3 linked regions of the Oreochromis niloticus genome follow. The protein of the gene in region 3 interacts with the protein of the main gene of each other region in a biochemical or structural test. Links are inferred from orthologs where the notes say so. Each region holds a gene or a part of one and is shown on either strand. Other genes may lie near its edges. The genes, in order: e2f2, prdm2b and rb1.

Region 1 (3,754 bases), on a different chromosome or scaffold from region 3:
TCATTAAAGCCCACTGTACCACTTATTTCTAGACACGGGAATCAAATCACTTAAAATGATCAGTTTAAAAGCAGAAACTTTAAGGTGGGCTCCCTCCCTTTGATTAAGTTTACCCAATTTACTGAAGTGATCCAGAGGAAGTTTCTTAATCAGAGAACTTTTTGAAACCTCATCCGTATTTTCAACCGTGCCGTCACTTCTATCAACCTGAATCAGGCTCCTGTTTTTGTGGTAAAATTGAAATGTGCACCTGTGACAATGTGCAACAACTGAAAATATTCAAATCCCTTGAAAACAGAAGTTACCGTGGTCACAGTGTGCATGCACAAAAACACAGGCGACATGATTGCGTACACAGGGGTAGTGTCGTAAAGCCTACTGAACCACATCACATCCAGTATGTCGAACAATTACAAATTAATTTTCTGAGGTGTAAATAAAAATTCTGTCATTTAATAACTGAATTCTTGCTTATTCTAGTGGCCAAACTTTAAGGTTGGATTTCAAGGTGAAAACCAGGTTATCAAACGTGAATGCATGTAATAATTCTATAAACCAACAACCCATACACACTTTGACAGCAGTCAGGTTCACATTGGCACATGATATGCCAGGTGGTACCCTATTTCTCACTTTACTTATATCCATCTAATCCTCTTGAAGGGCCTATTAGGGCTGGGGATTTGACATGCGATTTGAAAACCCTGTACACACTCTAACCCCTTTAGCGTTACTGCAATTCATTAAATCTAAAAAAAGACTCCAGGGCTGACGAGTCAGCTGGAATAAAGACACCAAATACAACAAACAACAACAGGTGTGGAGCACTAAAAAGCTGCTGAGTGTCACCCAATCTTCTCAGATCAGGATTTTCAAATAATCTTCAGCATTCGAGTTTAAAATGAACGGCATTGCTAAACGTCGTTAAAGCCCACTGTGTACGTGTTCTACAAAACAGGTTAATCTTTTACTTATTTGTGATGCTTTAGGGCTTCCGATAGTAATACTTTCACACTCCAGAAAATACACCTGTTCTGTGGTTATGACCTCTGACCTATGCTTCCTTCCCATTGTCCAACACAGACCCTGTTTTGACATAATGGGAAGTGAGGGTGGAGCATCTGTTATGTGTGTTATCACCCATTACAAGTGTTGGGAAGCTATGAATTTGCCTTAAGTGTCTTTCCTCCAGCTTGGTTGAGCCCCTGCATTGTTTGCTTGTATTAAAAAAAACTAGCTCTGCTGCATCAAGGAGGGGGGGCACTCGTCTTTTGGGCATAAGAGAGTGGGGCCTCTCTCTAAGCACCCCCACTGGCTCATCAAAACCATCAAACACAGAACAAGGCGTCTGGCCTTGTGTTAGCTACAGCTGGACTGCGGGAGAAGATGTCACACAGCCTGGCATGGATAAGGAAAAAAAAGAAAGAGAGAAGACACCATTCACGCACATCAGCAGCAGCCACAGTGGCCCCTCTGTGGCTTATCACGTCAAAACATATCTGAATGCGCCCTTCTCAAACATGCATAGCAATGAAAAAAGTCAAATATTCCTCCTCCGGACATATGCAAATCCCTCGCTAAATATTATACAATAAGGAAACACGACCCCAGGCTTATATTTGTGTGATTATTTACCGGCAGTCGCCCGGAGGATGATCTGATCGGTTTAACCTCGGGTCCATGGGGGGTTGAATACAGGCTGTTGGCTCTTTGTTCGGCCACGCTGGTGTTGCAGATCTGGGTGAAATATCCGGCCGGTACCGTGTTCATCTGCGGACTGGACAGTCCGGCGAGGAAGAAGTCGGTCTTCACTCCACCGGTGGACAAAAGCTTCATCTTCTGCTGAGAGCAAGGCAGCCCCACTGCCTGCCGACCCGATGCCGGCGAGACGCCTTTAGGCATCCGCATCATTTTTCTGAGTGAACCGGACCGGTGAGGCGAAGGCAGAAGTGTGCCTGTACTTGAGCACACTGAATCGCTCAGCAAGCTTCACCTACTGCGGGACCTCTATGAATATATAAACTGCCTATACTGTAACACACACAAACAAAACAAAAGCAACTTTCACAGCGTAAACTGCCGGATTAGCTTCAAGCCGCATGAATTACACATGCAGTACAGGCTTATATGTTATAATGTGACGTTTATCATTAGTACATTCAACAGGCTGTTCGGTGTTGTTATCCTTTGTCCTGTATCAGTGTAGAGGAAACTTGCCTTACCAGTTATAAAGAATAGCTTCCTGAATAAATAAACTATTTCAAACGTCCAGAACTTTAAAGTTTAATTCTCCAAGGCTTCCAGGTCTCACTGAGATCCGGTTCCAGCAGGAGATTAACAAATTATTGTGCCTCCCTCTGGTGCTGAATCCGACCCAGTCTGCCACTCCTGTCCGTCCACCTCAGAGCTCCTCTCTCCATACAAGGGGGCAAGAGCTGGGGCAGAGCAGTCTTTTTACCGCCAAACTTCATCCCGCGAAATTCGGATCTCCCGCGGCTGAAAGCCGCTTCTGATTGGCTCATGGCACGTTCGGCTTGTCTAATTTGCATAAAACAGTTGTACGGCTATGGGAGTGATCTGCTTAAAGGGACAGGAGCACACATCCGAGACATGGTGTTCTTTCATTGCCAGGCTGGATATGGAGACAATGACCAGCCCAGACTTTATAATCACACGTTAGAGGTGCATTATTGTTGTTGGAGCACTTTTTATTGCCTTTTTAACTCCACTTGTAACCACTTACTTGCATTTACAGCATCCCAGTTCAGTTCCTTGACAGTCAAAGATTACAAAAACGGTTAAATATTAACTTCATATGTTTATATGAAATTTGCAGTGTATTAAAATGAAGTCTGATTCTGCAAATGGCGCAATCATGTACAGTATGTTCAAATAGTGCCGAATTGCTCTCTGGGTAATTAGGACATAATAAAATATGTGTATTAGAAATCAGAGGGCAAGAAAGGATTGGAAAGTTTTTTTTAAAGTTTTATTTTGTAAATATAATTAAATATACACTGTATGTTTTTTGTAAACAATAAAGACAATTTTGCTTTATTGTATTCTATGTGATCAAAGTGTACTGTTCCCTGTTACAAGGTGTTGCTGGGGTAGTTTATAGATGATAATTGGATTCACTCAGTACCACTCCTGCTTATTGGTTCAGAGGAGGTATTGAAAGAAAACACCCCCTCCCCCACTTGCAGCAACCAAACCCAAGCCATATGACTTGACCCCCTTGGCCAAGACAAAGTAGACTCTCCACCAAAGCAGCCCCATTGTCCGGCCTCAATCTGAACGGCATTTTGAATGAAATAATCAAAGTTGAAAGTGGTTTGAATGCACAACAAATTTATTGTTTGTTGTGCATCTGTGCCTTTAAAAAACCGAGGGTGAAGAAAAAAAGCTGACATAGTTGCCTCCTTATTACACTGGATTAGAGATGGGGAGATAATTCTTAATTGTCAGATGAAAGAAATTTGCTTCGTTCACCACATATTACTGCACTGGATGCCCACAGAGTGCAACGTATATTATCCCCACCCTCATGTTTCTTCCTCTTTCACACAAAATCCTGCACAATTTGTAGGTGTTCTTGCATAACTAGCAATACTGGAAATTCAGATTCACGTTTTATCCCAACTGCATAACATGCAACATCTCACAGCATTCTAGTGATGTACCTTTTGTACTTTAAACTTTGTTGCTTGTTTCTTTTCTTTTAAAAAAAAAAAAATCACTAGTGATGTTTCTC
Region 2 (3,754 bases), on a different chromosome or scaffold from region 3:
AAAGCATTGCAATTATGTGCACTAATAAGGGCATGAAGTCACACCATAAGAAGCTGCCACATGGATGCTTTCATGATCATTAACAGCAGGAACGGTGTTACCTTTTATTCCTGTTAAAATTAGACAGAGACATCTGCACTGTGCAGAGACAGGTGGTAAATTTTCCTACACATCTGATCACAAGTGTTACAACTCAGCCAGTACTTATAATTTAAAGTGCTGATCTGACCCCAGCCCAGTTCCATCTCCTACAGTCACAGTTCACAGATCTGCAGGCTTGTACAGGAGCTTCCACATGGACAACCAGTATGTGGTATCGCAGCAGCCTCTAGTGGCCACAGGCACTTCCTGTTAGTAGTGAGAAATGTCACGTCTACCCAATTTGCTCGACAGGAACCAGTACTCTTACTATATCTGTGAGGTTACACCACAGCCCAACAGGAACTCCAACAATTAAGCTGAGTTGCTTGCTTTAGCTGTTTATCCCACCCACTTTTTTGTGTATGTGTGTCGAAATAAAGGAATCAGGTTTGTGTGAACTGCTGTGGTGCTCAGAGTGATTAGAAACTTAAAATTTATAAGTCTTTTTTCTCCATTATTAATTTAGCATTATGGTGATCTAGCGCTTTGATTGTGTTAAATAATCTAAAAAAAAACGGTTGTCCTGTATTTTACTTAATCAGACTGACTGACTGAATCATGCAATATATAATTATATGTATATTCATACTGATGTTGATGAAACCAGCTATTGTAAGGCCTTGCTTCCTCAGTTAACATACATAATACATACACACACAATACATAATTTTCCTGAGGGATTAATGACGTATTCTGATTCTGATTAAGTACTTTTACTGAAAAGTTTTCACTCGGCTCTCATTTGAACTTGTTTCTACATTATTCTGTTAAAAAAAATCTTAATAAGTTAACAAAATAAATTAACCAACACGTGCTTGTGCTTTTGGAAACACTAAATCCCATTTCACCCCCGATATACCTCCCTCATTTTGAAATGATGTATATTATTTAAATTCTAAAATACTGCCCTATTAGATTTAGAATAACCGCAATAGAGATATGGCAACAAGGAAGCAACAGCTCCGTTACTTAAAATGAAAAATACATAAAAACAGAGGACGCATTGACACCCTTCTGCCTGCATTTCCACTTCTTTTTTTGAGTTCCTCTCTGCTATTCATGGATGCACAGATGGTACCAGCCTACAGGCCCATTATGCTCACAGATGAATCTAAGCAAGGTACTTAATTGGCATGGTTTCATGTTAGGCTGCAGTGTGGACAGGACTTGGACCACTGCTTGCAAGAGAGGCGAGCAAGGGAGCCTTGCTCTTGTCGTCCACAAAAAAGAAAGAAAGAAAACCAAAACACCCCCCTCCTTCCTCGCAGGCTGACTTGAGAATTATATTTGCCCCATCGCTGTGTGTGTGAGCACGGGTCTGAGAGGCTGCCTCTCCCAACTCCACTACACCGCGATTCGAGTCACTGAAAAGGCTTTCGACTCAAGCCTCCCTCCATCCGCCATTTTCAACAGATTGACAGCAGGTAGAGCACAAAAATCACAAGTTCCCGGTGAAATAAAGCAGGTAAGTGCGCGTATGAGTATCCTAAACCCAACAAACACCTTACGACAGGAAATATTGAGGGAGAAAAACCGCTCCAACCACCTTACTCCCGGCCAGCATCGGGAAGAATAAGGGGAGCGGACGGTTTGCCTACAAGGGTAACAATAAACTGCATCCTTCAGGCGCTTTAGTGTAAGGCTTCCAGTCTGTTTTGTTTGCTTGGATCAACTTTTTTTTTCCTTTGACGATCTGAGAGAAAACGCTTTATAATGCGCTTTACGCACACACCCTAATTAAAATCTCTTGCTGTTTGTTGCTTGAACTTCAGCTAGGGGGGATTTAAACATGTCTGATCACAACTCCAGGAACGCCGGTGGTAGTAAAAGAAAAAATATATAATCAATCTACACCGACTGGCCAATAAAAAGTTAAGCATTTTAGCCTTTATTTTAAAGGGGCATCAATAGCTCAAGCTCGAGTGCCTCAAGTGGAGACAGTGAGGTTTATTGTCTCAGCTATGCCATTTATCTGCCACTGAGATAATGCAACCTCATCATTATGTCATGTTACAGTCGTTAAGGTCAAAATATCTGCTAGTGAACCGCTCGGGTTTTATATCTCTTTATTGGATTGAGTGTAATAATGCGTATGCCTGGTCCACAGAGCCACACATGGGTCAGCTGCTTATTGTTGTCCCTAACAAATGGCTTTTCTGCCAGTTGGGATACAAAGCGAGAGACTTAAAGCTCAGTATGTGCCTGTTATGGAAATAGTTACAGGATTAATTTGCTGAGCTGAAAGTTAATTCCGTGATTAGTTAATAGACAGGAAAAAAAAACCCCTCTAAAACCAACAAACAAAAGATTATTTTGGCTTTTTTTCTCTTTTATTTTTTATGAGTGTAATTTGAAAAGTTTCTGTTAACTTGCACAGCGTACTGATACTAAAGGTGTTAAAGAGCGGCTGCCTGCAAGGCTCTAAGTGGAGTAAGATGATGCTTACTAAATGAATGGAAGTTCACCAGCTTGTGCTGGAGAAGAAACTTGGAGGGGTGGAAATAACAAATGGCACTGACAATTAAACCTGAGAGCTACATTATTAAACTGAAAAGGAATAATATTACACACATACAAGTACACAATCCCTGATTTTTTTCCTTTTCATGGGTGTTTTTTTTTTTTTTTTGCCTCAGTTGCACACTGACTGAAGTCTGTAGTAAATGATTGTTTCATATGCACAATATACTGCTGTATCGCGATACCGCTGAGAATTATTCTTTATAATTCCTGTAAATCAGCCTTACTGAATCTGAAGCATAAACCTTTTAGCTGCTTATGCATCTGGGGAATAAAAATGGCTGCATAATTATTCAGAGCCACAAGAGGCTTCTGTAACAGAAGCTGACGAGGAAATATCTCCAAAATGCTGTCTAGCTGTGGTCAGATTTGCATGCTGCAACTTCCATGTCAGAAAAAAGAACAGCTGTTTCTTTTCAAGAACAGGAAATGGATCACTATAGATAATAAGACATTGTAAGTTTTGCTTTTATCTACTATCGGATCTCAGTTTTATGGACAGACGAGTAAAAACGCAGCATTTTACATGTTGGCGATTAATTCAGTTTGAGAGCGTACATTGAAGTGTGCCACAGTGTTTTAATCAATTTGAATATAACTGCAGATGTTTTAATGAGCCAGGTGCTTTTGACAATCAATGAGTGCTGCTTCATGTCACTTATTGCAGGTCATGGCTATTACTGGAGGTACAGTGGAGTCTTTGAATGAAATTCCAGCTCATGTGTGGAAAGGTTTGCCTGACTATCTGAATCTGGGGCCTTCTGCTGTAAATCAGAGCCGCATTGGTGAGTAGCCGGTCTCATTTCATAACTGTAACAACTTCTGTTAGGACTGGCAACATGTTGAGTTTCATTTGAATCTCACGGCAACATAACCTTGAAACAGACTTCCAGCAACCAATGATTGCGGGGCAAAGCGAGACCAGGCTGGGCCAGAAAGTGAAACTTGAAAATGATAACTGAATCAGAGCTTAAACAAACATGAACCTTAGTGCAAGTCATCGGAGTCAAAGGCTTTGAGTGTTTTTTTTCTAACATGCCTCGTGCATGCTTACTCCTTCAAAGAGTCTGTTAGATGCATAAACATCTCGTGG
Region 3 (3,754 bases):
CAATAAGACACAGTGGATATTGTGTGTAAGCTTTGATTTAAAATTGGACTCAGTACTGCAAAAAGAAAGCTTACATAAAGGGTTTTTAAAGGGTTTATGGCCAAAACAGTACAAATTGTACTTTCTTTCACTCCCCATGCATTTACATGCCTATCACTAACTTTGTGTTGTCTTCTTCCCACAGCTTGTGATTTGCCATGTTTGTGGACTTTCCTTTTCTTGTCTTCTTTTTGGATCTCTTTCAACAATGTTGTAGAACACAGGTGTCGAACTCCAGGCCTCAAGGGCCAGTGTCCTGCAGGTTTTAGATATCACCCTGGGTCAACACACCTGAATCAAATGATAAGTTCATTACCAGGCCTCTGGAGAACTTCAAGACATGTCAAGGAGGTAATTTAGCCATTTAAATCAGCTGTGTTGGATCAAGGACACATCTAAAACCTGCAGGACAACAGCCCTCGAGGCCTGGAGTTCGACACCTGTGTTGTAGAACAGGGGTGGGCACCGAGGGCCGGTGTCCCTGCAGGTTTTACATGTGTCCTTGAACCAACACAGCTGATTTAAATGGCTAAATTAGCTCCTCAACACGTCCTGATGTTCTCCAGAGGCCTGGTAACGAACTAATCATGTGATTCAGGTGTGTTGACCCAAGGTGAGATCTAAAACCTGCAGGGACACCGGCCCTCGGGGCCTGGAATTGCCCACCCCTGTTGTAGAAGCTCTGATTTGCAGGAGAGATTGGATACACCCTGGTTTCTCTATACTTGAGAAGGGTCATATGGACTAAACCGTTATTAATGAATAAAATAATGCTGAACTGTGCGGGGTTATGCTATAGTTAAACACCCTTGACAGGCCATAGGGCTAACGCATAAAGACAATCAGTTTAGAATCACCAAACTGACTGTGTCTCAGTTCTGACCCCAGTGAGAACCCAACCAGAAACAGGAGGACATACAGCCTGGATTTGTTTTGCTGTGAGGTGACAGTGATAACCACTGCACCACCATTCCATCCTGCAATATGTATTGCTTTGGGTCAAACACTGTTCTAATTTGTTGCTGTATAAGATAAGGAATTTAAATGATCGATTTCCACTCATGCTTTTTCCAGGACAGGCGACAGGACTGCAGTATTATAAATGTAGAGTGGAACTACTGAACTACAGTATGTGCAAATACGTACAGCAGCTTCATCCACGGACTCCTGAACGGTTTTCCACAGCGTCCAGGCTCGATCACATACAGGGTCAGTCACATGAAGGCTCTTGCACAGAGTCACAAACTCAGCATCCTTGTCTCCGTACCTAAAAGATGGAGACCAGAGGTTAGCAACCACGGAAAACACGAATACGGTTTCAGGAAATCAAAACAACTGCACTCAAGACAACGGTCTAGTCTTATGAGGTACTCTGACTGCCAGTCAGAGTCTGAGCAGGGTACAGGGTATAGTAGGGTATAGCTCTCAAACACAGCGTTTGAGAGCTATACCCAGACTACATTTCAAATTTCATTCATTACTGAATAGTTACTCTTTGACCAGTTGTATGGGGCTAAACATACTTTTAAACTCGCTGTTATTAGGCCGGTGGACACAGCTAACAGATCAGCCTGACGTTTAGTCGCACAAGCTAGCGAGCAAGACAAACGTAGCTGGGGGAAAGACCAAAATATCTGTCTACAATGTCAACATTTTTTTATTTTTTTATTTTACAAAGCCACAAACTGAAGCTACTGCGACTTGACGGCGAGGTGATCATTACTTCTCTTACTTCTTAAGAGACAACTCTGGACTTTCCTTCTTGTCTGGAGAGGCATTTTCAGCAGTGGGTTTCATCTCTTTGCTCTGTGACGTCCCAGAATTGCGTTTTTTAGGTGGCATCTTGGTATCCGGTTACGTAACGGCCAATAATTAATAGATAAAACTCAAATATGTTTTAAAGCCGACTGATATTGTTTACTAAGTGTAAATCCCACTTCAAGAGTTCCGTGACAACAAAACCTCAGTGACTTCCTGCAACTGTAGATCTGTGGATGCTCGTTTTGTATCAACGTACTGCGCGGTGAAGCGCCGTTGGCGACGCTGCAGCGGTGTTACAAGTACTCGGCGGTTAGTGCTCAAAAACCTGTCCACAAGACTTTGTTCATTTGTGTTTTTGCGATCGTCAGTCTCCGTTTAAACTCGGTGTTGTCAGAACTTCTGTCAAAGAACCGATTTATAACTTCTCACGCACAGACAAGAGGTCTGTCATTGCAAACAGACAGATGTAGCGTTACGCCGGGATCACGTGACAAAAACCGCAAACGAACTAACCCAACCCGAGGACTCGAAAACGCGGGAAAAAAAGTCTACGTAACATCCTGTTCGACCTCCAACGCGCCTGGAACAGAAATAGTAGTAATATAGCCCCTTTACATACACCTGCAACCCACAACATTTAAACCTTCTGCTTAATATCGGAAGCGTTTATTCACTCATTGTCGTGTTCCTCAATTAGTTTATGTGGCACTTACAGGCTGCACTATTTCGGGAGGGGAGGCTGTGCCTCTGCAATAATATATGTTAAAGTAATATCATGTAAAAACAAAAAAAAACGATGTCAAGGCTTCCCGGTAGAGGACATTAAATGCAGTTAGATGACCATTATTATCCCGTTCACCTGGTTTTTATCTTGCGGGTGATAAGTGTAAATTATAGCACACATGTACATGTTTATTTGGCAGCTCTGTTAGTGTGTAAAACTTCACCTCTAAGTGTGCAATCGTTGCCCTCTCGTGGCAAAAATTCACAAATAACTTGTGCTGCAAGCTTTTAAGAAACCTTTCCAGTGAGTACATATTACCTAGTTAGAGGACCCTCAATCACCTCTATTGTCTGTTAGTAGCATCCTACTTTCATGCGGAAATACATTTCACCAGCCATGTTATGAGGTTCACTTTGCCACTAAAGGGTTGGATCCCCTTTTGCCTTTAGAACTGCCTTAAGTCTTTGTGATAGAGGTGGGCTGATCGATCCAAATATTGGTAGCATTGATACCACTGCTGGTATTGGTACTGGATTGATACTAGCGCAGTAGGATTGATACTTTCTTTGTTAAGTTCAGTATGTAACCCACTGACTTGTGTAAAAAAAATATATATATAAGTTATTTTTTGGAAATGAAAAAATATGCGTCAAACATACACTGTGAAAAATGACTGAACCTTTTTGTGTGGACAGTCACATCTACTTTATTTATAGCCTGTCTTTATAGGTTAAAAGTATTGGTATTGCTATCTATTGCAATACTGGCCCTGTGTTTACTCGTTATTGGATTGATACCAAATTTTGCAGTACTGCACACTACTACTACTACTTTGTGACACAGATTCAGCAAGGTGCTGGAAACATTTCTCAGAGATTTTTAACCATATTTATATGACAACATCCCACAAATGCAGCATATTTTTCTGTTACAGAGCCACGATGCAAATCTTCCACCCACAACATCCCACATCAAAGGTGCCCTATTGGATTGAGAGCTGGTGACTGTGGAGGCCATTTGACTACAGTGAACGTGCAGTCATGTTCAAGAAACTAATTTGAAATTATCTTAGTTTTGTGATATGACACATCATCCTGTTGGAAGAACCTATCCTAAGGTAGTCATAAAGGGTTGGTCAAGGTCAGCAGCAATACACTGTGGTACAACTTGAATGCTGCTTAATTGGTACTAAGGGGCTCAAAGTGTGCCAAGAAAATTTCCCTTACACCA

The links.
Region 1: the proteins of rb1 (region 3) and e2f2 form a complex in vitro, tested with the Homo sapiens proteins (2 studies listed by BioGRID and IntAct, with this or other methods). The link is inferred for Oreochromis niloticus from reciprocal best matches to the Homo sapiens genes RB1 and E2F2.
Region 2: the proteins of rb1 (region 3) and prdm2b form a complex in vitro, tested with the Homo sapiens proteins (2 studies listed by BioGRID, with this or other methods). The link is inferred for Oreochromis niloticus from reciprocal best matches to the Homo sapiens genes RB1 and PRDM2.

Annotation. Positions count from the first base shown.
Region 1 is NC_031983.2:14,406,822-14,410,575, forward strand, and holds the start of e2f2 (transcription factor E2F2), read right to left. Parts: upstream 2,456-3,754; 5' UTR 2,223-2,455; exon of another isoform or gene 2,032-2,222; 5' UTR 1,912-2,031; coding exon 1,636-1,911; intron 1-1,635. UniProt on the Homo sapiens protein: Transcription activator that binds DNA cooperatively with DP proteins through the E2 recognition site, 5'-TTTC[CG]CGC-3' found in the promoter region of a number of genes whose products are involved in cell cycle regulation or in DNA replication.
Region 2 is NC_031970.2:17,985,003-17,988,756, reverse strand, and holds the start of prdm2b (PR domain zinc finger protein 2), read left to right. Parts: upstream 1-1,291; 5' UTR 1,292-1,606; intron 1,607-3,328; 5' UTR 3,329-3,331; coding exon 3,332-3,446; intron 3,447-3,754. UniProt on the Homo sapiens protein: S-adenosyl-L-methionine-dependent histone methyltransferase that specifically methylates 'Lys-9' of histone H3. May function as a DNA-binding transcription factor.
Region 3 is NC_031975.2:11,025,205-11,028,958, reverse strand, and holds the start of rb1 (retinoblastoma-associated protein), read right to left. Parts: upstream 2,291-3,754; 5' UTR 1,882-2,290; coding exon 1,772-1,881; intron 1,307-1,771; coding exon 1,186-1,306; intron 1-1,185. UniProt on the Homo sapiens protein: Tumor suppressor that is a key regulator of the G1/S transition of the cell cycle. The hypophosphorylated form binds transcription regulators of the E2F family, preventing transcription of E2F-responsive genes.